3 linked regions of the Drosophila melanogaster genome follow. The protein of the gene in region 2 interacts with the protein of the main gene of each other region in a pairwise test. Each region holds a gene or a part of one and is shown on either strand. Other genes may lie near its edges.

Evidence for each region.
Region 1: the proteins of CG18304 (region 2) and dpr17 interact in a two-hybrid assay, tested with the Drosophila melanogaster proteins (one large-scale study listed by BioGRID).
Region 3: the proteins of CG18304 (region 2) and NimB2 interact in a two-hybrid assay, tested with the Drosophila melanogaster proteins (one large-scale study listed by BioGRID).

What each region holds. Positions count from the first base shown.
Region 1 is NT_033777.3:12,091,396-12,100,388, reverse strand, and holds the start of dpr17 (defective proboscis extension response 17), read right to left. Parts: upstream 5,514-8,993; 5' UTR 5,089-5,513; intron 4,760-5,088; exon of another isoform or gene 4,341-4,759; 5' UTR 3,713-4,340; coding exon 3,373-3,712; intron 2,304-3,372; exon of another isoform or gene 1,733-2,303; intron 1-1,732.
Region 2 is NT_033779.5:6,937,636-6,946,210, forward strand, and holds the start of CG18304 (uncharacterized protein), read right to left. Parts: upstream 5,180-8,575; 5' UTR 4,509-5,179; intron 3,317-4,508; 5' UTR 3,284-3,316; coding exon 3,102-3,283; intron 3,047-3,101; coding exon 2,976-3,046; intron 2,099-2,975; coding exon 1,890-2,098; intron 1,824-1,889; coding exon 1,630-1,823; intron 1,571-1,629; coding exon 568-1,570; intron 514-567; coding exon 301-513; intron 242-300; coding exon 1-241. Other genes in the region: Fgop2 (fibroblast growth factor receptor 1 oncogene partner 2), read right to left, coding at 6,414-7,361; ihog (interference hedgehog), read right to left, coding at 8,118-8,575.
Region 3 is NT_033779.5:13,961,999-13,970,260, reverse strand, and holds NimB2 (nimrod B2), read left to right. Parts: upstream 1-3,242; 5' UTR 3,243-3,336; coding exon 3,337-3,755; intron 3,756-4,249; coding exon 4,250-4,786; intron 4,787-4,864; coding exon 4,865-5,174; 3' UTR 5,175-5,208; downstream 5,209-8,262. Other genes in the region: NimB4 (nimrod B4), read left to right, coding at 353-642, 801-1,364, 1,426-1,918; NimB3 (nimrod B3), read left to right, coding at 2,350-2,510, 2,567-2,774; NimB1 (nimrod B1), read right to left, coding at 5,209-5,467, 5,523-5,726, 5,805-6,362, 6,523-6,713; NimA (nimrod A), read right to left, coding at 7,744-8,141.

The DNA of each region.
Region 1 (8,993 bases), on a different chromosome or scaffold from region 2:
TAATTTAAGCTCACATTTTGCGAGCCAAAAGCGCATCAAGGCCATTCGGCTTACATTGTGAGCGTGATTGTGTGTGTGTGTGAACAGGAAATTGTTAGTTGCATGGCGAATGAGAAACAGTGGGCCGAATTGCGAGCGGAAAACAAGTCATTTTCTTTTTTGGCAGAAGACTTGCATCTTTGTTGAAAGCATGAAGAACTAAACTACTTTTAATTAATAGTGCTTTTCAACACCAAAATAAGGAAAATGTATTTGTAGAACACTTGCAAATAAAAAAATCTTCATTGTTTTAAACGCATACAAAACTCTTAATGAATACATCAACCAAAGTGGTTTTGTATATAGAATAAGCAGAAATTTCAATGTAATTGTTTCAAGAACATGCCCACCTATATTTGTCAGGAATTTTACACAAATTTTTCAGTGTTATTTAAATTCCGAATAAGACATTTCAACCGAAGTGCACCTTTAAACATGCGAGTTTGTTGAAAATTCGCGATGTTTCTGGGCATCTAATAAACCCATGTGGCATACATTGTTCCACCGTTGGACAATTTGTTGACCTGCGGCACTGTCATGTGCCTTGCCCAACTTTGCTTGTGTTACAATATTTTCCGTCATCACAGGACCTGCCGAGGCTGAGGTCAACTGGCAATGTGTGTGTGTGTGTGTGTCCTGCCGCCTAAGGGATGCTGCTGATATTGTTGTTTGGGTCTCTCCGCAAACCCATTTATAATTTATGAAGGTAAGCAAACACTTTTGGCCCTCGCAACGACGACCGCACACACGACACTGCACGACAGGACTGGAGGACATGACATCACGACCCCATATAGCAGCCTTAAAGGATTCTGGCCATTTGGCTAGGTGTAATAGTGAGAAGACGGGGGCGATCAGGAAGGAAAGGTCGGCCCAAGTCAACCTGTAGGCCGCTTTGATTCGAGGCCCAACGACTTTGCAGGCACATTCCCAAAATTAGCAGGGATCCAGGAACTATGTAAGCAAACAGAAAAAAAAACACTGCACAATCCACAGAATCCCACAGAAATTTTCAAAAAATCTGAATGAGGATTTCGAGAGAACAAAAGCCGGCAGGGTAGCAAGACCAACTTTGGCCGCATTATAATTTTGAATGTTTCGGAGCTCGGAGTTTGAGTTGGCTTGCATATGCTTTGTTGGCCCATTCCGCATTATGGCATAACGAGTTGCACTCACAACTTTCCAAAAGCGCATTTTGTTAAGAGTTGTAATAAAGGGACAGAAGGGCAGCTCAGTGGGGAAATCGTATAAGGGATTTAGAAAGGGGTAAGTCCACACTGCTGTAAACGTGTTTATTAAACATTTTTTGGTAAGTTTTCAATTTCGTTAATATTTTTGTGCGGCTGCAAAGCCAAAGGACCAACGTAGAGTTATACGAAGGGTTATAGTTTATTGCTTTATTTTTGCCTCCATTATTGGGCAGTCGACAGAATGAGAAGCTGCTTTTGCTGATGGAAAGCAATGAGGTTAAGGACCTTACGAAACTATTTGCGGAAACGGTGGGCCATTTTAAAACTTTTTCACTTATAAGAGGTGCGGATGTTTGTTTTAAAGTTTAAAAATGGGTATTGTATTTTAAAATTTTTGTGGTAAAAAATGACATATTTTATATAAATCCGCTTTGGACCTAAAAACTGGATTCTTTGGTTTAAAATTTACAAACCGTTTAAGTTTAATATTACTACAAATTTACCTTCTTTGGCAGCTTGTACTTATGTTGGTCGTTTTTCGCTTTTTATATTGACGTTGAACTTCTGTGAGTACCATATTGTGTCCTTCCTTCTAACACTTCGGATTGAACACTGGATTATGGCATCGGAGTATTGTTTTCTGTTTTCTGCTTGACTTCTCTTGATTTACATAATTAAACACCATAGCCTCTTCATCGTCGGAATATGTCAAAACCTCAAAATCGTATTCTTTATCAAGCAACGACGTATCCTGTCGGCATTTTTTGATTCGATCTACAAGTTTTTTTTGGCATTTTCGCATTTTGTTTTTTTTTTTTTCTGATTTCATCAGGTAGAATCGGTGCCCAGTCTTGAGAATATGTCCTTTATTTACGCCAATTCGCAGTGCAACATCTACGCTGCCCTTTATATGCATTTTTGCAACTTTAAGCTTAAAGGCTACTTCTTCTAAGATTTCTCGATAAGTCACTGGGCACTTCTTTTCTTTAAGAACTTCCATAATCAACGCACCATATGAAGCACATGCCATTTTAAAAAAGGGTTTACAAGAAATTTAGATCACTTAACTTTAACAAATTTTGAGCTTATATTCTGTTTAAGGAATAAATACTAATAATGGCATTGAATCACTTGCTTACTTGTGAAAGTTTGGTAGAGTAAAATAAATTTCAAACAAGGCAAGATTGTAATACAAAATGAAAAGCCGATTGGAAATTTAAAAGCATTCATGATCTTAAGTTATCAATTTTTTCAAGTACATATATCTAGCTTGAATAAAAATGACACTATCTATCGATATAATTAGCATATTTCTCAATATTTCATCTTCAAGTGCTTATTACGGGTCAGAATAAATTATATTAACTAGTCACTGTGCACAAGGAAGTTATCTTAATTACGTGGAAAATTCGAATTAAATTATTTATTAAATAGAATTACCAGAAGAACCCCTATATAAGGAATCGCTCCGCAATGCCGCACAACTTTTTGTCATCTTTTATGGGCCATTGTTTTCCCATTTCGCTAGCCCCGTGGCTTCTTCTAATCTAATTTCGGCAAATCAAATGAAACAACGGGAAGCTCAGCCCCCAGTTTCATCCTCCGCAATTTCAAAGAACGACAATTTCCTTGCCTCCACTCCCCCAGCTGATCCAGAACTACTAAAACAATTTGCCAGCAGCTATTTCGCGTCTTGGGATCCGCTTACGAGGACAATTATCCATGTGTGTGTTGCCAAGTGCGCATAAGATTTTTCACCCGGTACCCGAATAAATAAGGAAACGAGGAGTTGGAGATACTTATCCTGTTAATCTGGCAGAACAACAGGAGAACATAATGCACTGAAAGGATGTCGCTGTTTTCCTAGTTTTACGAGGCATGATTTAAGGTTTAAATACAAAAGTGCATTTAGGAAGAAATGTAAAAACTGCATTTTCCTGATTTGATACCTTTGCAAAGAGAGGGATCTGGTTTAACACTAGGGAATATCAAATCCTAAAGTGTATTCCACCCGTTCATAGGACTCCATCCCCAGTTAACTGTGTGTTAGAGTGTGCGACGTGAATGCGTTAAATTAAATCAAAAATGTATGAAAGTCACACGCACACGCAAGGAGTGAGGGAAACCCCCCAGCTGTACTTACGTATCCCAAAGCCGAGAGCTGGAAGGACCAAAAGGACGAAGCTGATGCGTAGCCAAGACGCTAGTGGGGATGTATGGAAAAATCGGCGACACCACGGCGCTCCTACTCCTGCTCGTTCTGCTCGTCCTGCCACTGTCATCTCGGTTGTCAACGTGGCTGGCCTGGTCCTGGTTCTGCTGATTCCGGTTCTTCGACTGGTGCTGCTCCAGCTACTGCTGCTCTTCTGGCTCCAGTCCTGCGTGGCAGTCCCAGTGGCCCAGTTCCTGGCTGCAATGACACTTACAGCGCCTTTTGTGCGCTCATTGTCCGCCTGCCTCCAATTGGGACTCGTTTGCGGCATCGAATCTGGCTTCTCGTGCTCCTTAGGACCAAGACCAGGGCGAGGGCCAGGACCAGGACAGACAGGATCTGCTGATTGCACTGCGCCGTCTTGGCTGGCAAACTTTGTCGCATTCTCTGCTCCGTTCTCGAAATCCCAGTCGAAGTCTCAGATAAATAGGTTTATTGAATTAATACACTTGGGGCTGGCTTGGGTCCTGGCTTGCCTCCATTTGGGTTCTATCTAACCTCTATACTGTTTCATTTTATTTTATTTTATTTCATTTGATTTTATTTCTAGCTTTCGACAAAAAATTGCAATTCTTCTTTATGGGTCGGCCACAAGTTTTTCGATGCGTTTTCTCAAGCGATTTTCGTGCAAACCCATTGTTGGCTTACTCGGTCTCTGCACTTGGTTTTGCACAATTTTTGTGTTGCTTGATTTATATATTTATTTAAGTGTTTTCGCCTTTGTTGAGTGGCAAACTTTTATTGGCGATGCAGTGGCACCAGCATAGACAAATAAACTGGCATCGGAACTCGACTTTATTCCATGGTAATCCAATTTGTTTATTTAGCTTTTTGGTCTCTTCCAAAACTTATTTTGTTGAACAGCACAAATCCGTTTAATCCCTAATAACTACATTTACCTAAAATGTTGTTTGCATACGATTTTATTGTGATTGTAAAAGTGGTTTTGGGATACCATATAATTGAGTATTAAAAGCACGTGAAGAAAAATACGTATTTAAAACAAGAATAAAATATAACCTTACCATTAAAAATGGTATTTCTTTAAAAACTAATCTGAACAGAGTTAACACTTCTGCATGGTAACAAAACTTTTGAAAACATATTTCTACATCTTGAAGTTTTACTTCAACAGCTCAATCAATGGAAAAGTCAAGTGCTCGAACTTGCCAAGAAATATAAATCAACTTATTTCCACTTAAACTTTCATAATCGTTTTGCAATTAATTACATAGAATTTCCTTTTTCTTGGTTCCCGGCTCACTTTCTTAAAAGTTAATAACTTGCACGGCTTTCATGCAGAACTATCACACAATGTTCTCGATGACTAATGGCCAAAACTTTTCGCACAAAAAAAAACCTTAAAAACTTCGACCATTTATAGTGTTTAACAAGTTTCACATTGCCTTTCGATGGGCTTTCTTTGAGTTTTAGGTCGGTGGCAAAAGGTAACAATGGCCATATGGCCGGGCTCTAAACGAATTGTGTGCAGCTTGGGTGGCTTATATTTAATGATTTAACACGTGAGAAAACATTTACACTTCAGTAACAATTTATCGCATAATCCGACTTGAGAATATTTTTTATTTCGCCCTCCTTGGCATTATTCTTGCTGCCCAAAATGATGCACAATAATCCCTTTTTTACGTTACGCGTCCTTGGAGAAATCCTCTGTTTTCTTCGGTCCTGTTTTTGTTCCTCGGCTTCGCAATTCAGCGCGGCATTCTAATATCCATTTGCATAAGGCGGGAGCAAACAAATTTTAAAAGTGATTTCGGCAAAAGACACTCGACAGGCGGCACTGCAGGACACGGGACACAGGACACCCAAGAGGACATCAAGTGGTTTAACTTTGTCTTAATTCTTCTTTTCTTTCTTTGCCACTTTCCATTAACTTTTTTCTTCGTTTCTGTTGTCACATTTTGTTTTCCTAACTCCCGCCTCTTCAGCACAAGTCCCTTTCAGACATAAACGCGTAAAATTGACTTCTGGTTGCGGTTTCGTTTGCGGTCTGGGTTTCCTTCCACCATCCGAGTCACGTCCGCGCGAACCGGATTCAAATTTTCGACTGAGTCGCGTTCGAGCGACGCCATCCCACTTCCCATCGAGTTCTTAACATTCCGAGGCGGATAGTGCCGATTCATAGCCATTCCGTCGAGCGTTCCACATCGGATTCTCCTCTGTTTCATGTGGCATACCGGTTCGTTTCCAACTTCCCCAGCTTTGTGCCGTTCACATCCCTCTGGTTGCACTGAATTTTCGGAATCGAACCGTCGGGTTATTTGCCGGCTGTTTGTTCGCGCCTGCGCGCTAATACTGCTTTGGCAACAGAAGATTGAAGATTTATTTTTTATTCCGCGGATGCCATTTGTAGATGACCAACAAAACACTTGTTTCCGCCGGACAAATGCCTATTTTAGTCGCACATGAATATCAATTGGTTCGCTCGACGCCACCAAAAATCGACCATGATGTAAAATATGAATTGACGCCTCTTAAAAATGGTATAAAGATTGATACATGGAATATATAAATCTCGTAGCTATTCAATTTTAAAATGAAAGAGTTTAAGAGTTAGCAGTTTGTAACCGACCTAAAATATAATATATATTTTAAGCAGTTAATTTCTATTCCCTCTTAAACCGAGTGTTAGCTTTATTTTGACATTAATCTAAGCTGAAATATACTCATCCGTTCTTCAGCACTTTTCTCTAAGGTTAAAGTCACGAGGCAACCAACAAATAATTGGAGTCGTGCAAATGGTGACCCCGTAAATCACGGTGGTGACCGCGTTGGCATTCGGTCACTAAATTAGCTCGGTGTCTGTTGAAAAATCATCGCCTTTAGTGGCCGGAATTTACTGCCCCGGCGAAGACATATCTGTGGTCTCGGGTATTGTGCGACAATATGCCATTATGTAGAATGGAGTGGGCCAATATGCGCGGCTTGATGAACGACGGCCTAGGACTAAGTATAATCTCGTGTGCTTTGTTGTCAAAGAGCAAGTAACAAATAAATATTATTGAACTTTTAAGTCCCCAGGGGGCGGTGGCCTACAGGCAATTGACGCCCCAGTGCGATAACAGAGCCAGCGGGCAGATAGGGTGCTGAATATCCTCACACAGGACCAACATAAATTCCTGCTCAGTTCAATTTATTGTGTATTGACACAGCTTACGGAGAAACAAATAAAAATGTTTTCGAAAGTGCGGGTGCGCTTGGTGCCAAAGTCCATCCCCCCATCCCCCCCTGCGCTGCGTAAAGAACTCCTCCCAAAGGCTCCAGGAATGCGGACGAGTTCCCCTCGGCTACTTTTGCCGCCCTTCCATTGGTCCTTGAAGTCAGGGACCTCGTTGGCATCCATTGTTATTACCTCTTTGTTGTGTTTACACGCCATTTGTGGTATTTCACTCACTTCCACTTCCATGTGGCTCACCTCGTCTCGCCCGCAGCAAAAGATCCTGCGGCGGAAGGTGTCGGGCGGGATGCGGGCCAAAGGCTAAGGGGCTGGCTGGCTGTCGTAAAAGTATATTTGAAATGCAAATGCCGGCGGGCCTTAAAATGCTCAACTTCTGGCTCACAAAATAATCAAAATATACTTTATGTCGCCTTTGAGCCAGTGAAAACAGTGAACAGTTGCGCCAGTTATCGAAGCCAAAAGCCAGGCAACAAAAACCAAAAGCTGCTAAAAGCCCATCAATCGAGTTGTGAAATAAAACAAAAGATCAAAATTGTAGTATGCAGTAAAGCGACTGCATAGTACTCTTAAAAATATATAATATTACACAAGCGACTTCTGGCACATATAATTTTCCATTTCTATCCATTAAGAAACTGTAAATCTTATTTAAAACATAGATTCTAGCAACAATTGCTTTTTTATAACAAAAAAAATATTTTGGGCCCTTAACAAGGCTAAATTTATCAAAAACTTTAAATAAATATTAATTATTCAGTACATTTTTGATGGTCCGTCGGAATTGCTCTTCCCAAAGACCTCAAACAGAAAGTTGATGGCTTTGTATTAGCTAAACATTGCTCAGCTGTTAATTTTAGCACTTTTTATAAAGGTCGTAAATAAATTAATATTTTTTGTTGGAGGCAATCGCATCTGGGCTAAATTTAAGCAAACATCATTTCTCTTGGGACAGGAACTTGAACTACAAAAATTGGTTTGCTCATTTTGGGGAGTGACTCTCGAGTCGCACGCCTGTCAATATATTTCAATATCTACATTATGATTGCTTTTCTCAATTTTTTCAGATTTCTTCAGACTTCAATTTTCCCTGCGAATGCATATAAATATATATTTTCCTTTGTCCATATCCTTGTTCGTTTTGGAAGGGTGCCCAACTCTGCTCTCTCCGAATATGCGAATTTTCAATGACATTCTAGACAAATTTCTGATAGACGGTACAAGGCAACATACACGCATACACATATGAGAAAATCTGGTTTGATTTTATCCTGCGAGTACAACGGAAAATGCATCTACGATATGAAATATTTGTGAAGGAAAACTATTGAAGAGCCAAGGAGATGGTCTGGAAAATACCAATATGCATAATGTTGTGACAATTTATTAGCAATTTATGCACTTAGGCCAAACAAGTTATACTCCTAGAGTGTCCTATTAACAAGACCCAAACGATAATGCAAATTATAATTTTGTTATTATTGAATCGGATGTGACAGCCTGAGGCTCGCAAGTGTTAATTCTGTTAGAAAATTTCATGTAAATTTAGGTTTCAAAGAATTGAATGACGAACAGCAATTGAAGAAAAATAAAACCAATATTCGGAAATAGATAAACATTAACTGCAACCTAGAGAACCAAAGTTCAGTCTGCACCTGCGGTTTGAGCCAGTTGAGCTGTGTTTATTGTTAAAGGGAACCAGCAAAAGTTCGAGAATCAATGGGGTTTGAGTGCAACCAGCAGCTCACAATCTACCGCACTTGATTTCAGTGTTCAGGCAATCGAGCCAAACGCACTTTAAGCCTCACGCTTTTCATTTCAAATGCCATAGAGAAAGGAAACCCATAGAAATCGAAACGCAAAGTAAATTGCACTTAATCGAATACTATGTAAATGAACTGCAGATGGAATCGAGTGCAAGCCGAATAGTCGAACGAGTGATACCTTGTAACAGTAACATTTTTTTTGTAACAGTAACATTTTTTTATTCCTCAACAATACTCAAAATCCACATTTCTTTCTGTGAGCAATTAGTTTTTTCCCTGATTTCAGCCAAATTTTAGTTGACTAAGTTAAAAATGCTAGATAAAACGTGTGCGTTGGTTTTCGGGTTCATTAAGGTTGATTGTAACCGCTGTAACCCACATTTAGCACCAACAACATTCGCGCTACTAACACTCTTTGTTGCATTTTTTTTTTTCCTATTCAGGCGGTCACCCTTTGCCCTGCGTGTCGTTATCCTTTTGTGGTGAATCAGGATTAACGGTAAATATAATTACTGCACCCTTTATCCTGCGACGGGAAAAGGTGAAGGAGACACTGGCGAAAGCGACGTGACGTTAATGACATTGTTGGT
Region 2 (8,575 bases):
CAAATGGAGACGACATTGTTTCTCTTTCGATTGAAACATTTCTATCGGGCACTTCGAAATCGGTTTGCGTGACAGCCACATTGGAGGTCACCAAGTTCTCCACACTGGTAGACATATCGCTCTGAACCGTTGCCACTGTCTGTGTGCCTCGGGGAAAGGCCACCACCTCGAGTGGCACCTCGGTTTGAGTACCACAACTGAATCTAACACGCTTTCGCTCGCGATCCCTAAGTCGCTGAAGCTTTGCGTAAAATGGTCAAGTGATTAGTCGAGTGGGTTGTGTGCGTCAATGGGCATTACCTCTTCTTCCGCGAATTTTAGTTGGTCCTTTAGGTCTGTCTCCCGCTCAATGGAGTCCTGCAGCTCGCGTTGCAAGTGCTGCGGATCTTCTTGGGAGCCACCACGCGTCAAGGACTCTCGGGTGAATTTGGCATCCGCCGACGTCGACTTGCCTAGGACACCCAGCATGGGTGCCTTCTTCTTGCCAGGATTGCGTAGCTCCTCGGCTTCCGCCTAGGAAGTTTATTTATTAGTAAATACTTTTGGAAATCAACTTAGCTGATTAACCTGCAACTTTCGGGTTAGCTCATTGGAGAAACGCAGCTCCTCCTCCAGTTTCTTGATCTTATTGGAAAGCTCAGCATTGAAGGAACTTTGGCGTTCCTGCTCCAGGGTTTCGATCTTGCGATCACTCTTCTTCAACTTGAAGCTGAGAATGCGACAGTTTTTGGTGGCCTTCTCGAGATCCTTCTGCAGACTGGTCTTGGCCTTGACCTCGTCGTCGCGGAAGGTGTCCTGCACCTCGTCCATCTCTGCCTGCAGGTTGAGAATCTCCTTCTTGGCGCTTTGGTTCTCCTCCATGAGCTCCTCGCAGATCTGCTCGGCGGCCTGTAGCTTTCGCCGCAGCTCGGACTCGCTACCCTTGTTCTCCAGCTCCTTCATCCGCAAGTTAAGTTTGCGTTTGTCCTCCGTTACCCGATCCAGCTGCTCCTTCATTTCGTTCAGCTTCTGCTGGAGATTAAGTGCTTCCGAGGCTGCTGTCCGATTCGAGGCGGTATCCATGGAGGCCAGACGTCGCAGAAGAATATCACTCTTTTCCCGCTCCGCTTTTTCCGCCCGTGTCTTCATCGTTTCCAGCTCCAGTTTTAGCGCCTTCATTTGCTCTTGCATGCCATTTGTGTCCTGGCTCTTGGATGCAGTGCTGGCGGTGCTACTGGTGCTGTTGGAGTGGGATATCGATGCAGCGGGAACGGTTTGTCTTTTGATTTCTTTGCTAGCCACTGAATCCGCCTCCTTGCGACGAACCGAGCTCGAACTCGTCGAAGAACTGGACGTAGACGTGACGACCTTCACCTCATTGCTGGCGGATGTGGAATTTGAGGTTTTCAGGGAGGTGCTGCTGCTGTTACTGCTGGACGCCGTCGTGGTGGAAGCCACCGCCACTTTCTTTGGCGGTAGGGCAGCTCGCTTCTGTTCGGCTTGGGCCAATTGGTTTAGGGAAGTACCCGACTTGCTGCGCTCCGGACGATCGGGTACCACTGGTGTGGGTGTAGCTGTAGACTCGCTTTCTCTAATAGATAAAATTTAACATTATTATCTTGCTTATCTCTGAAGATTGCAATTGCTTACTCTTCCCTCCGCGGAACTGATCGCTCCCGACTGTTTTCCCGGGAGTTGAGACTGCGCTGCTTCTTGAGAAGATTCATTTTACGGACACGCTCTGCTAGACTGTCTGTCGATAGGATGACTAACTCATCTGGAATACTTGAAGTTTTACTGGGTGAGGATGTGACACGGGTTGGCGGTGTAATGGCGTGTTCCACCTAGGAAATACAAATCACGCAGAGCGTAAAAGACATCTTCTATAGCCGGTCACCATGCAATCTTACCTCCTTGATGTCCAAGGCGGTGGTATGGCGTCGCGGTGGAACCGGCAGCTTTACAGTGACAGCCACATCCTGATCCTCGGCGGAGGATGCTGCTCGACTGGTGGATGCCGTAGCCGGCGGGCGGCGAGCCACATTGTCCGGCTCGTCGATATCCGGCGTGGAGGCCCATGACTGCGGACGCTTCCTCAGCTCTACATTGAAGTGGACAACTAGGCTCAGTAAGGGCGTCAGGTGTGTTGCATGCAGGTGCAAGTTGCGAGTTGCAGTTTGCAATTAGCGTTCGATTCCACTCGGAGCCGTGGGTGCGAGAGTGAGACAAACGGATGCCACAGAACGAGCGAGAGAGAGAGCGTGGGAGCGCAGTACAGATCACGCGTGGCATGGTAGTAGTTAACATTAACGGTTCATTTAATGCAGAGATTAGTGTTGAGAGAAAGTAAGAGAGAGCGAGACAGAGACAGACACAGAGCAATAGAGATGACACAGTTGGCGGTGGTTTTTTGTGCACACGCAGAGTGAGAGTGAGAGAGATAAGTAGACAAACACATTGATTAAGATTCGTAACAATTTTTTAAGCAACTTACTATAACTAAATGTCAGAGGAACAATTTCTCAATGGTAAAAATACTTTAAGAACCAAATTATTTCAAAAACTACATATATTGTTATGTTTCTAGCAGGTTTATGAAAGTATAAAACAGTGAAATTAAGAGTTTGGACAAATTTTTCTAGTTTACTAGTTGCATTGAGAAATCGTTTTTTTAATTAATACATGTATTAAACATAAACAATTTTAATACTTAAAACAATAACCGATTGACAAGGGTACTGAAACTATTTGAATTCTACACAAACATTATAATCAACAACTTAACAAATACTATTAAATAGATTAAGCTTATAATGCATATAAATATTCCATTTATTCCACGTTCTCGATACCATTACTATGATTTTTTGCGAGAACACACTCAGCTACAAAGTTAAGTTAGCTTCTAGCGCTGATTAACAATAAACAAAAGTGATCGTCTTTATTTTAATCATAAAGTTTATAGATTTCTTAACCGTTGCGAGTGGCATTCATACCTATATCATTGCCATTAGTTGCGTTTGCACTGGTAAGATTTTGAGTTGACGTCCACGTCCGCGAAGAGGGTCTATAAAATAAAGTATTATGTATGTTCAAAGGTGGAAATCCCGGGAAGATCTTACCGAGAACTCTGGGCATCGGAGAGATTGGGCGAGGAGGCGGCCACCTCTTCGCCGGCTCTGCGGGCTCCATGCTCCTTGTAATCCCGGAAGCAGCGCTTACATCGCGTGGGATACCGAGTCTGGGGATGAAAGCCGAGTGGGCACAACTGGTCGCCTTTCAGCGATGGGTACAGATGATGCATCTGTTCTCGTACAACTTATCAGCTTTTCTTTTTCTGCAAGAGTTGAAGTGTGAAGTCCTCTCAAGCCAACGCTTTATTTTATAATTAACACGGTATGCGTAACATCTCACTACTGGTTTTATTTATTTATTTTTTTCTTTTTGTTTAAAATCTTTTAAATTTACATTTGCTATTTCTATGTACTTTTCGCACGATCCCAATACCCAATTGACTGCGCAAGTCTGTGGAATTTCTGGCACTAAGCCAAATCGACAAAAGAATTTTGTACACGTTCATCAAATACTTAAACATTTACATTTCGTTATCATTCACTTGGCCATTGGTTCTAAATTGAATAGCTGCCTGGTTTGATGGCTATTGTCAACGTGAGTTGGAAGTGCAGATGTAGATCAATGCCTTCGATTAATTAACTATCCCTCATTGGAAGACAGATATATTAACTCTGAGAAACAAAAAATGAAACTGATTTAAAAATTAACTTACTAAAAAAAGGAAATCAGCAAGTCGATTTAACATACATATGTATGTATATCTTGGAATTTATTCTATTTTTAAAAAGAGGTGATAATATGCATTCTTATATTCGCATTGATACACATATACAAATATTAACTTTAACTATAATTATAAAAATGTTTAAAATCTGGATTTAAATGTAACCATTGCTAAGAATACTTAAAAAATGATAAGTAACTTACTAGTTACTAGTACTATGATTGAAGAAAAAACTCCTAACAACAAAAGCTTCACATCCTTAAACTTTGACTTTTCTAATTCAATTTCAAATCATCCTTCATATCTGTCACTTCAGTCAGGCATAAACAATCGAATGGAAATGGTAAATATAAACAATAACAAATATGTATCCATCTATTTGAGTATTTTTAGAGCGATCTATGAGTAGAAAGAGAGCGAGATAAGCTGGCACAGGTGGAAGCTAGTTGCGCAGGCGATTTTCCGCCGCTTGCGCATGTTTTTTGTTCTTTTGGCGAAAATGGCGAAACTCAAACGAAAGAGCGCGATGCGAAGAGAAAGGCGAAGAGAAAGCGCGGAGCTTTCACCACTCCTTTCTCTGTGCGCTCTGCTGCTGCGATGATTGCAAATCCCTAGTGCGTTTATAAATAATTACCAGCGTTTTAACCTATTTTCATCTAAGGCGCTCTGTTTTTCGTCGGCGCTGGCACTTGCAAAATGTGTGACTTAATTTAGAACGCAGTGGACTTACACGAAATACTTCCGCATTTAGAATAATTTGCGGCTGGACGACGGGGAATGGGGCCAGCCTCTTGGATGTGGAAGTGGATGTGGATGTTGATGGTTGCGTAACCGTCGGGATTCAGTGCGTTTCGACACGGATTATACAGCAGTTTGGAGCATTGGTGTACATATGTAGATTCTTACAGGGATTGGAATCCCCAAAGCCTTTCGTTCACTTTCGATCACACACACACAAACACTCGGTTGCTGCTTGGTTGATTTAATTTTGGAATATTCACTTTATACAAAACATTTACGGCCACAGAAATTGGCTGTGTTTTATAAATAGCATAGTTTTCTTCTTGCTAAATGGCAGCGCACTTCCCATAAATCTACCCAGACGATTTTCAAATGCAAGACTCTCCGGAAATATCGTTAGATTTGGATCAATAGCTTATTATTAGAGGGATATATCTTTATATCAACCATGCGATCCAGGCAGTTTTCAATTTTTCACCCGATTCACATTCATGTACAAAGGCCAAGCACGTATGTGCCTATATATTTATATAGCTTTAATATAACCGTCGATTGCCCGAGCACTCGAAATACTTATATAGATGGCTGCCATGCGAACCGGGCGCAGTTCCTTGGCACTTTTTTTTCGGCTGCGAACGCGTTGAAAATCGACGAGAAACTAAATTTAAATTATTTCTGAAAGCTTCAACTACCTACCAGTCGTGCGAGAAAAGTGTTTTCCTCAAGAGAACCGATATTTTGGCGCAGAGAATCGATGAGAGCGATTCGAAAATTATTCAAAAATATTCAAGTCCAAGCCAATTGAAAGTTTCAGCCATAAATCTTTACGGGTATCCATATAATATTACTTTTACACTTCAGGTTCCATATTTATCAAAATTACAAAAATGTATTTGATAGAATTAAAGAAAAAAAACACTGTAACTAATAATAATAATAATTACTTCAATAATATCTATTCAAAAAATTGGTTTTCCTAATTTTCCATATTGATTAATAACCAAATTAAACTTAAACAATACAATAATGAAATTATTTAAAATTTTTTAAACCCCAATATTTTGCCTTTGGAATCTTAAGCTTCTAAAATTATAGTTATTACTGCTGTTTTTTTTTCTCATGGCAGATTCTGTTCAACTTGGTTCATTGTGTAATAAGTTGACTTTTTGAAAATTAACATGACTATATCATAAATCTTCTGCTCGATAACCATTGATAACCATTGTGGCAAATGTTAATTTTAGTGGCTATACTTTATTCATATTTAAACTCCACACAAGTATGTGTGTATATCAAGTTCTGATCAGCCTTACTCGATAAGCAATGAGTCATATCCAATGAATTATTTAACCGCTTCTCTGTTTGGCTGGGATTTAGAATGGCCAAATTTAAAAAGCCTTCTAACAAAAATATTCAAATTCATGGGAGGGGCGCATAATAGATGGGATTCTACTCGTAACATCTTTTGGGAAATAACTTAAGAATTAGTTAGCTTACGGAGTAGCAATCTAAAGCAAAGTTACATCTTATTTAAATACACTACTGAAATACATTTGTATGTTAAATTAAATATGCTCATTCCTTTGGTTATTCCCCGATTTGTATTGGAATTTATTTAGCAAACCATAAAATCGACAGGGTACATTGTACATTACATTTGTGTGGGTGTGAGTGTGTTTACCTCGTTTTAAATAATAAACTTCATTGTTCTCAATGCGTATGGACAATATGTTGAAATTCGTATTATGTATAAATTACTTAGAGATTATCAATCGCTAAGAGCTAATGCAGGTTATGTGGGCCCTCTTCGTGCGCGGCCTGTTTTGTGAGTGGGTGAGTAAATACGATTCAAATGAAGACCAAACGAATCAACAACGTTGCACAGCAGCACCTATCATGTTGCGGGCGCTACTGTCGCCTGATCCTCGACAGATTCGTTAGACGTCGTCGCTGGCGGCGGTGCACTGGTTGTGTTGACTGCAGGTCCGTTATTGTTATCATTCGCCAGCGGCTCTTCCCCCGGCGGCGCCGTCTCCAATGTCACACTTGGTGCTTGTGTTTCACTTTGACTATGCACTGGTGCAGTGTTAAATGAGTTCGTGGTGCCGGCGACTTTAGCCGGTTGCTCCGGACTGCTGTACATCTGGATAACCGAGTTGTTGTTCATGTTTTCCACCGAGGCGCCCGATATGGACAGATCGTCGGCGGAGTCGTCCGCCGTACTGTCCGTTTGCACAGCCTTCTCCTCCAGCAGGTGGTCGCTCTCACGAATCGGTCGCTGCGAGGAGCCGTACTGCTTGGAGATTTGCAGCAGCTCGCGCAGCGTTTCGTTCTCCAGACGCAGCTGGGATATGGTCTGCAGCTCTCGCTGCACGACACCGTCATCTACACTTGCAGCTAGCTGCATCACTGCTGCCATTTCGTTGATCTTCTCGCGCTGCTCCCGGATCACCTGCCACATGCGTTCGTTGTACAGCTCCTTAAAGCTAAACTTGCTATCCAGGACCTTGGAGACGGTGTGCTCGCGATACTTTTGCATCATCAGCTCCATGGCACGCTCGTAGTCCTCAATGAAGATCTTTAGCTCGCGATTCTCTTTGAGTATCTCCGAGCTGTTGATGTTTTGCTGCTGAATGCGATTCACCATGTCCGCGTTGGTCTTGTTGTTCGAAATGCGGTTGAGTGATTCAATGTCGTCCTGATACTGGCGAAGGCTCTCCACCAGCCGATTGTTGTTCTCCGCCTCCTCGAGCAGCGCCGTGCCCAGGGCGTCCAGGTCCTTCACCCGACTGGCCATGCGCTGCGCATCCATTATAATCTGGCCCACGGATAGGTTCGACATCCTGCCCAATTCAGTCCAGTTGCGATTTTTGGATTTGTATTGTTTTCGGGGGCCAGGCCCTCTGCTGCTGGCACTGCGAAAACAAAGGGAACCGCTTAAATTTGTGCACTTTCTGGGGCCTACGAGCAGTGTCTTACGTTCGGTGCGGGTAAGGTGCAGCTTCGTCCCTAGCGTAACAGCTTCATTTGATTTTCCGGCCAAAATATGTAGGAATAGAAACGATTTTAATAGAAATTTTGACGACGACCCAATTATTGGCTGACAGCTTATTAAATCCCAAACGCCATCGGATGTTGCACAAATCCCTAACGCCACTCATTGAATGCGAAAAAATACTGTTTCAACACTTGATATACCGCAAATATACCAAAGATTTAAATTATAATTTTGTTTTTTAACTTTTAGCTTGAGATGTCATTTTTTTGGCTAAATCCTTTATGTTTATGTTAAAAAACTCTTTTAAGGTTAAAAGGTGAAGCTACAAGCTTTATTGTCATTTTTGTATAGGTCATTAAGAAGCTATCAGTACAGATTTTGATCTTATCGCGAAAAATGGAAGACTTAGCGTAGAATGGACATAATGCTATGTTCTTAAACGATCATGCATACATAAATCTAGTTATGTCTATTTAAGTACCTATTTAAGTACAAACAGCAAAGGTTTTGTCATTCAAAGTGGTAGATAAAACAGAGGTAGAGGAATAGCATGGTACATCGGGCGTAGGGATGCACAGACTAAAGATCACGAGATTGCGATTACACGCCAACGCTGTTGAGGCTGCCGGAGGAGAGGTTCTCGGAGCGACTGGACAGACGGGGGCGTTTCATGAGTACACGACCCGGCTTGCCGGGATTTTCGATGGAACCCGCCTCTGCGGATTGATTTAGATTGTTGTTGTTGCCGTTGTTGGAGCCATTGCTGCCGCCAGCACGTTCCAGCGTGCGTTGTGAGCGACGCAGCGAGGAGGAGGACATCCTGCGCAGCGTGGGATCGTAGTCATAGCTCGACGGCCGCTGATAATAGGGCGCATCCTGGTCTGTGTCATTCTTCTCCTCCAGCGCCTGCTGCTGCTGCTGGGCGAGTGGATTCAAGGTTATGTGGATGTGTCGTGTTCGCTGGCGCTGCTTGGTGGGCGAGCAGTTGCCCAGCGGCACAAAGTCATCTCTCAGCTCCGCCATCCGTGGCTTGTTTGGATTGTTTCCCCGGCTTCTGG
Region 3 (8,262 bases), 7.0 Mb from region 2:
AATAAAATAAAATAAAATATATTTGAATATGCTAATTTACATACCCAAAAGATACTTTTGGTTACTGAAATATTTTATTTGCATCCCATCACTATTTATCCGGGAAATTACAATTCGTAATGAAAGAACATAAAACTTAAGACGATCTTTAGCTCGTTCTTACTTGACATACATTGGCATTGCGAGCCCTGGATCTCCCCCTCCAGATCCGAATTAAGCGCTGAAGCCCTCTTATCATTGCCTCCGGCTGTGATTAGAGGCTGGCCCAACTGCGTCGTCTCCGGAGCAGTAAACAATAGCGACTTGAGCGTTTCGGTAGCGCGCCACAAAGGAATCCGCGCCCAGCACTGAGATGTCAACAATACTGCGATCTCTGTGCCTCCACTCGGTGCTCCTGGTCCTGTTCCTCTGCGTGCTGCACGGCCTGGAGCTGCAACTTCACGAGCAACAGCTGCAGCAGCAAAAGGACGAGCAGCTGCGCCTGCGCGCGGAGCAACGCCAGCGGGAACTGCTGCGTGAGCACGAGGCTCTACAGCGACGCCTCTCGTCCTCGACCACCACACGGAAACCCTATATAATACCCAACGGTTTGTCGCTGCCCCGGAGAGGGGAACATCCGGACAAGTGCCGACAGGAAGTGCCGTAAGTGTGTGCCGGTGACAATCTAAGCCCATTAAATCCTTGGGCTCTTTTAGACCTTGCCCATAACCAGCACAAGTTCTCGTATGGTTTATAACTTTTAATTTTACTGATATATCTCAAAAGCACACATGCATTGTATACACCAATCCAATCTCCAGGGCCGTGTTCTTTCAGTACGACAAGGAGGTGAAGATTGTGGGCAACAGCTCCACCAATCCCTACATGAACGTGATCGAGGTTTGTTGCAAGGGCTGGCGCCGCTATGAATATGACTGGAGCCAGTGCGTTCCGGATTGCGGTGAGCGGTGCCAGGAGAACGGCTTCTGTGTGGCGGGCGGCAAATGCGTGTGCTTCACGGACTTTGTGCTCAACTACCGCAACAATTGTGTGCCCACCTGTCCGTTGGGCTGTCCGCATGGTCGCTGTTACTTGAACGGCACCTGCCAGTGCGATAAGGGATACGAGCTGGACGGATCGCGCAAATTCTGCCAGCCGCAGTGCAACGCCACCTGTGGCCACAACGAGGTCTGCTTGGAGCCGGGCAAGTGCTCCTGCGCCGAGGGATATACCCGAGGACTGAGGGAGTCCGCCGCCCTGGGATGCCAACCGATTTGTATTCCGGACTGCGGATACGGTCACTGCGTGCGGCCCAACGAATGCGAGTGCTTCCCCGGATTCCAAAAACGCAAGAACGGCATCACCTGCGAAGGCGATTGCTATATGTGAGTGTTAGAACTAGACGCCTCTCCTTTTACATTTAATAATTTAATAAATTTCTTTCAGGACCTGCGAGAATGGCTTCTGTGCAAACAAAACGACGTGCGTGTGTCAGAACGGATATCGATACGATAAGAATACGACGACCTGTCTGCCGGATTGCGGGGACAACTGCGATAATGGGGTGTGCATCTCGCCGGGCAACTGCCGCTGCTTCAAGGGCTACGTCCGGAATCGGGAGCGATGCGAGGCGGTCTGCGTGGGTGGATGTGGTTTTTACGGCAAATGCATCGCACCGAATGTGTGCGGATGCGCCATAGTCCCGGGTCCGGAACGCACCTACCAGCGTTGCGAGTACGGATTGTGCAACGCCATGGGAAGATGCCGCTGCCAGGTGGGCATGACGCGATTCATCGATCGCTGCATGTCGCCGGACACGGTCACCACATACGCCTCTATGAATCCCGTCAAGGTGAACGCATCGCTCATCCAGGAATTCAATCTTCTGCTGGGCAGGCACTTCAACTTGACCACACTCAGCGATATGTGGTGGTTGTGAGTTCGGAGCTCTCACTTTTCCAGCATCACTGAGCAGTCTCTAATAAATATTCATGCATTTCCCAAGACGTTGTGTTCTTATCAGGGGTGTCTGAAATATCTTGTGGCTTCATCTCTTGGGATTTCGCTTTTTTGAAGCAAGTCTAGCTTAAATTGTAAACGTACGTCGAAGATTTGGTACCCTCTCGAAAGTTGTTTCATTTGAATAGGTATTTATTATTTGGTATATCACTTATTTTCTGCATAGTCAACATACCCCACGAATACCGGGTACTGAACACATAATTATCTTCCTAGGAATATAGAACATTTCTATCTCCGTACACTTAAATGCCGCGCTTGACACAGACGACAATTTAGTAGCTCCGAGACACTGGCGAGCATTGCGCTCGCATTTTGATACGACCTCGCCTTCAGCTGAATCCGAGCGAAATGCACTTGACATCCACGCTGATTGGACTCCTTATCTGCGGTCTGGGGATCGAGCTGCCCACGCGCACTGCCGCACAATTCTGGTCGGTGGATCCTGTTACGCAGTGGCGAAAAGAGGCTCTGGCCGAGAGGGGATCCGGCATCTGTTACAGGACGCTCACGTAGGTAAACCATTCCGCACGCCTGACCGAATTTCAAGATCAATTCCCACTCCCAGCGTGGAAACCATCAATCCCAACTCCAGAAATCGTCAGTTCTCCTACTGCTGCGATGGTTATGTGAATAAGGGAACAAGCCAGAACCTGAAGTGCGAGCCCATTTGCTCGGAGGACTGCTCCAATGGATTGTGCCTGGCGCCCGAGGAGTGCGAGTGTGCTCCGGGTTACTATCGGAGTAACAAAAGGTGTCGTTTTGTCTTGGAATAACAAAAATAAATAATATCAATTACAATATTTTTTGAGTTGCTTACTTTATCATTATTTGATCAATACTTCTACTATTTGAAATATTATTAACCTGTTTTTTACGACCATTCATGATTACATAGAAACGTTAAATTTTTTTTTTGAAAAAACCTTCATAAGTTTTAAAGGTTCATCATTTTTATGTTCTGTGCCTTTAAATCTGATATTTCATCAAGAAATAATCTCTATACCTGAAGTCATCGTTGTACGCAAACTTTTCTTGGAATTACCCAAAAGCAATGAGTTTTGTTTACGACTCACAATTTATGGCAATGATCGATTTGCTTTGCCCGAAGCTACTGAGAGCAAACCTTCGCTCCGTTTGCCACATTGATGGGTACATTGGCGAGGTGCTGATTAGAAGGGGGACAAGAGGTTGCCGGAGGCGAATGGCGGCTCAGAGATCCGGAGCTTCGCATCGGGAGCCGATTAGTCGATGTGCAACTACAGTCGCCAGCGGACGTGGACGTGGGCGCATAATCAATTTCCATACGTACGAAATCCGTAATCAAGTGACATCACCATGAGGTCATCATCGTGCCAGCTGGTGACTCTGGGCGTTCTGCTGGCCATCTGTTCCCTGGGTCAGGGACAATTCAAGACGGCTGGCATCAAGACACGGCAGCCGCCATCGGGAAACCTGCAGCTTGCCGGCAATAGCAGTGAGTCGGGATGGAGGAGCTACAACCAGAGCAGCTACGGTTGGAGCACTCAAAACCAGAGCAACTACGCCTGGAACCAGCAGAACCATGTGGAACAGGGATCCGCTGGATTTGTGCGCGCCGAGGTCTTTCAACCGGTCACATTGCCGCCCCTTTATGGACACTACGTGCAGCCGGTGACTCCGCCCGCTCATCGTGTCCAGGTCCTGGATGAAACGGCCCTGTTCATCAACAAAACCAGATCTGCCATGGCCAGTGGTGTGTGCTACAAGGAAGTTCCGTAAGTGATGGGTTAATTTCGGACAAAAAATACTAACAATCGAGAGGAAAACACTTTTATAATTCCACTTAAAGCTATCGCCCAATTCGGAAGGCATTCGAAAACAAGGCAAGCCATAAAAATAGTGAACTAACGACCTCAACTTCCTCCGCTGGCCTGATAATTAAAATGCGCCTTGATTTCACGAGTATATGTGTGCCAAGCTAATAATGTGAATGAATTTAATATGCAACGAGCGGAAAGTCAGTAGATAAGCGAAAAGTTTTTAAATTTAGTTGAATTGACTAGTTTCATTTGCATTCTCTTGGACAATATGTAGTTTAAAACTTTAAAGGACAAAATTATTTTTCAATTTTGACACACATCTTTACTAAGGTATTATTTAGACATGTTGATTATCTGTTTTATTAGTTTCCCTAGGAAAAATATATGTCATTGCATTCATGATTTTAAGTTGTTTAAGTAAACCTAATGTTTTCCTTGTTTATATCCAGAACCGCGTCACTGCTCCGCAATTCGCGGGATCAGTTCGTTGGCAATGGCACCACTCCGGACATGAGTCGCATCCAAGTCTGCTGCGATGGCTATGAGCGAAATCCGCACATCTACCGCCGCTGTGAGCCGATCTGCGCGGATGACTGCCGGAATGGAATATGCACTGCTCCGAATACCTGTGTCTGCATACCCGGCCACGTTCGCACCGCCGAGGGCAAGTGCATCTCCACCTGTCCCCTGGGCTGCGGCAACGGAGTGTGCGACGAGCGGAATGAGTGCAAGTGCCGCGAGGGATACTCGCTTGAGCCGGAGACTCGTAAGTACTGCCAGCCGGAATGCAAGCCCGGCTGCTCCTTTGGACGCTGTGTGGCGCCCAACAAGTGCGCCTGCCTCGACGGATACCGCCTGGCCGCCGATGGATCCTGCGAACCAGTGTGCGACAGTTGCGAGAATGGCAAGTGCACGGCTCCAGGACACTGCAACTGCAACGCAGGCTACCTAAAGCTCCAAGGACGCTGCGAACCCATTTGCTCCATGTAAGTGTGGCCTTTAAAAAACAATGAAATCTGCTTGCGATGTATAGTTTAGATAATTTAATTATTTCCCTATTTCAGACCCTGCAAGAACGGACGCTGCATTGGACCGGACATCTGTGAGTGCGCTTCCGGTTTCGAGTGGGACCGGAAGTCGGCCGAGTGTCTGCCGAAGTGTGACCTTCCGTGCTTGAACGGCGTCTGTGTGGGCAACAACCAGTGCGACTGCAAGACCGGATATGTGAGGGACGAGCACCAGCGGAACATCTGCCAGCCACACTGCCCGCAGGGATGCCAGAACGGTTACTGCAGTGCCCCAAACTTCTGCATCTGCAGGCCGGGATTCATCAAGAGCGGCATCAAGGGACGCCAGACCTGCCAGGCCGTCTAACTTAGACTTTCGCACTTTATTGTTTCGTCTTGGATCAGAAATTAAATAGACGCCCTATCAGGGCATTAAACTCATAAGCAAGTTGGCGATTGAAGTGCTTTCTCTTTTCGCTAGTGTTGAGATGCTGACTGAGGCGGTCCGCCTTCAAACAGCGATCGATGAAGTGGGTTTCCCCCGATGGGCAACTGCAGTGCTCGATATCGTCACAGCTTCCGTTCCGGCAATGCTGTTGACCCTCACCACAGCCGCAGATTTCGGGAGCCACACAACGCCCGTATTTGCCGCAGAATCTGCTGAATAAGCGGAACTTCATGAAGGTGAACACAGCTTTTGCTCCGGGTAACAGACCTCTCACACTTTGGCCGACACTCGGCACCGTGGACCTCGTATCCTCGGAAGCAGCGGCACACTCCGGGCGCAATGCACACCCCATTTCCTTGGCCACAGTTGTCGCTGCACTCCGGCAAACAGCTGGTGGTGTTCACGTCGTAGCGATATCCTTCGCGGCAGTGACACTTGTACCGCGACTCACAGAGCCCATTCTCGCAGTTCCTGGAAGCGATAAGCAAATGGCTTAAATTGGCGGACAAATTTAAGATACTTTAGATAAAGATATATCGATACTCTTACAGGTAGCACTCAGCTTCGCATACATTCCAATTGGGCCGTTTAATGAACCCGGCGAAGCACTCGCACTGGTTGGGCGCCACGCACTTGCCAAATCCGCAGTCCGGAGCACAAACCGGTTGGCATCCCAAGTCCGGCGTTCTCCGGTAGCCGGGTGAGCAGTCGCACTGGCCGGGCGCCACACACTCCTCATGGGTGCCACATGACTGCGAACACTTCGGCCGGCAGAACTGCCGGGTCTCCTGATCCAGGACAAAGTTCTGATGGCAGACACAGGTGCCATTTAAATAACATCTGCCATGCTGACAGGCAATCGGACAGGTGTGAATACAGGCACCATGTTCGTTACGGACAAACTCTGCGAAGCACTCGCAAACGCCAGGACTGCGACAGAAGCCATTACGGCAGTTGTCTGGCGAAGATGCGGAGCAGTCCGGCACACATTCATTGGCATACGGATCGCGACGGTAGCCTGCACAACAGACCTCTATGCGATGGAAGTAGATCGTGGATCCATTACCACGCACCGGGGAATCCCGCTCGGTTTGGAAAAACACAGAACTGTAATCATCAAATCGAATTAATCAATGGGCGCTTGTAATCATTTCTCCCAGCATGCGCTCAAATAAATATATATATATTTGTTTATTAATGAACGTTTGTTTGGCATTAAGCTGCTTTGTTTTATTTTCCATATTTTTTAAAACTTCCTTTTACTCACGGCACCTCGCGATGGCACAGATGTTGCTGACGCTCGCGAGTTTGACTTAGTGACTCAAAATCGCCGTACTCCGTATTCTCTATGTCGCCGTAGAGCTCCGTGGAAACCGTGGAATCGGTCTTAATCTGGACAGGAAATGCCACCAGCGTCAGTAGAGCGGTAAGCCCGGCCAACGGTCCACTACAGTGCATCCCGTCTTGGTGTTCTGAGCTTCGATGTCGAGTAGCGAATGAACAGGCAGTCCAGGGGTTTGAATCTACTCAAAAGACCTTATCAGCATCAACTCTCAGTCTCGAAACGAAAACATTCAGAGAAAAATGAAAACATTAAGTTGCCCTTTTCAATCCAGCACATATTGTTTTATTAGACGATTTTATTAAATAATAGTCTTTAACTTACAAAATGTGGCTACATGGCTTTATTCTAATAATTATTTTATGAATCAGCTTTTGCATAAATATAATATGTTTTATAATATAGTAATGTTATTATAGCTGTTTTTTATTTTTAACTATAAATATAATTAGTTTTATATATTTTTTGAAGTCATAACATTTTTTATTTTTAAAACTGTTGCTACAGCAAACATACTTTTAAAAATTTAAAACGTTACAACTATGCGGAAACTACACACGCCACAATCGTAGACTTTAAAGAAACTTAAAGTCTAACACATAGGTTTTTATGGATATAAAAGTGTTAAATCTAATCAAAGACTACCCTTAAATAATGCAGAAACCTTTAACCATGCAAATCACCTTTAAAAAGTAATAGAAATTAGGTGAAACTCTATTAGTTTGATAATCGCCAATCCAATTCTTATATGATTTATGAATTAATTTTTTTTTTTATGTTTAATTAATGTTATTTTTCCCAGTTCATATCATATCTTCCATAATATAATGTTATAATAATTCGTGGGCAGCTTAAAATAATGATGTAATCAAAATGTATGCTCACTTAACATTTGGCTTCTGTACATAAATTTATTACTGATCTAAAGTATGTTATAAAAATAAGTGTGGTTGTAAAAACTCGCAGACTTTAAATGTGAGTTTTGGGACAAATTATTGGATAAATATGATATAAAATTACCTGGTATATGTTAGAAGGGCACATTTCAAGTTTAAATTGAAATAGATTTGTACAATATGTAAAAGTTACCAAAGGTCTAACGAATTTTCATATGTTCAGAAAAATCCTTTGTGTCAGCAATAAAGTTTACAGGTGGGCAACTCTTTTGGCTGTGATTTGGGCAGGAACCTGCAAGAAGTTTGAGTTCTGTGGCGGAATTATCAAGTGGGTGACATGATGCGACCGCTGATGCGGATGAACACTTCCATTGGAGAACTGGTCGTTCGCGGGCATGATCTGTGGCCTCGCCGGCAAAAACTGAGAGGCGGTTGTGGAGTGCTGAACATGCTGATGGCTCCGTGGGTGGTGCTGCTGATGGTGGTGCTGTTGGTGGTAGCGAATCTCGTCGTACAGATGCGAGTCCAGGCTTCCCTTTCGAGACTTGGGCGAAACCACCGAGTAGAGTGACTCCTTCCTGGCATAGGCGTAAGGTGGGGTTTTAATTGAGGAGTTGTTGCTGGGACTATCATATAGCTCTGGTTGTGCTGTGAAAATATATGATTTCTTTTGATTATAATATTTAAATAATTAAGTGAATTTCATATTTAAAGGAAAGTGTATTAATCTTAGTCGAAATTCAATTAATAATCTATATAAAGTGTGTAT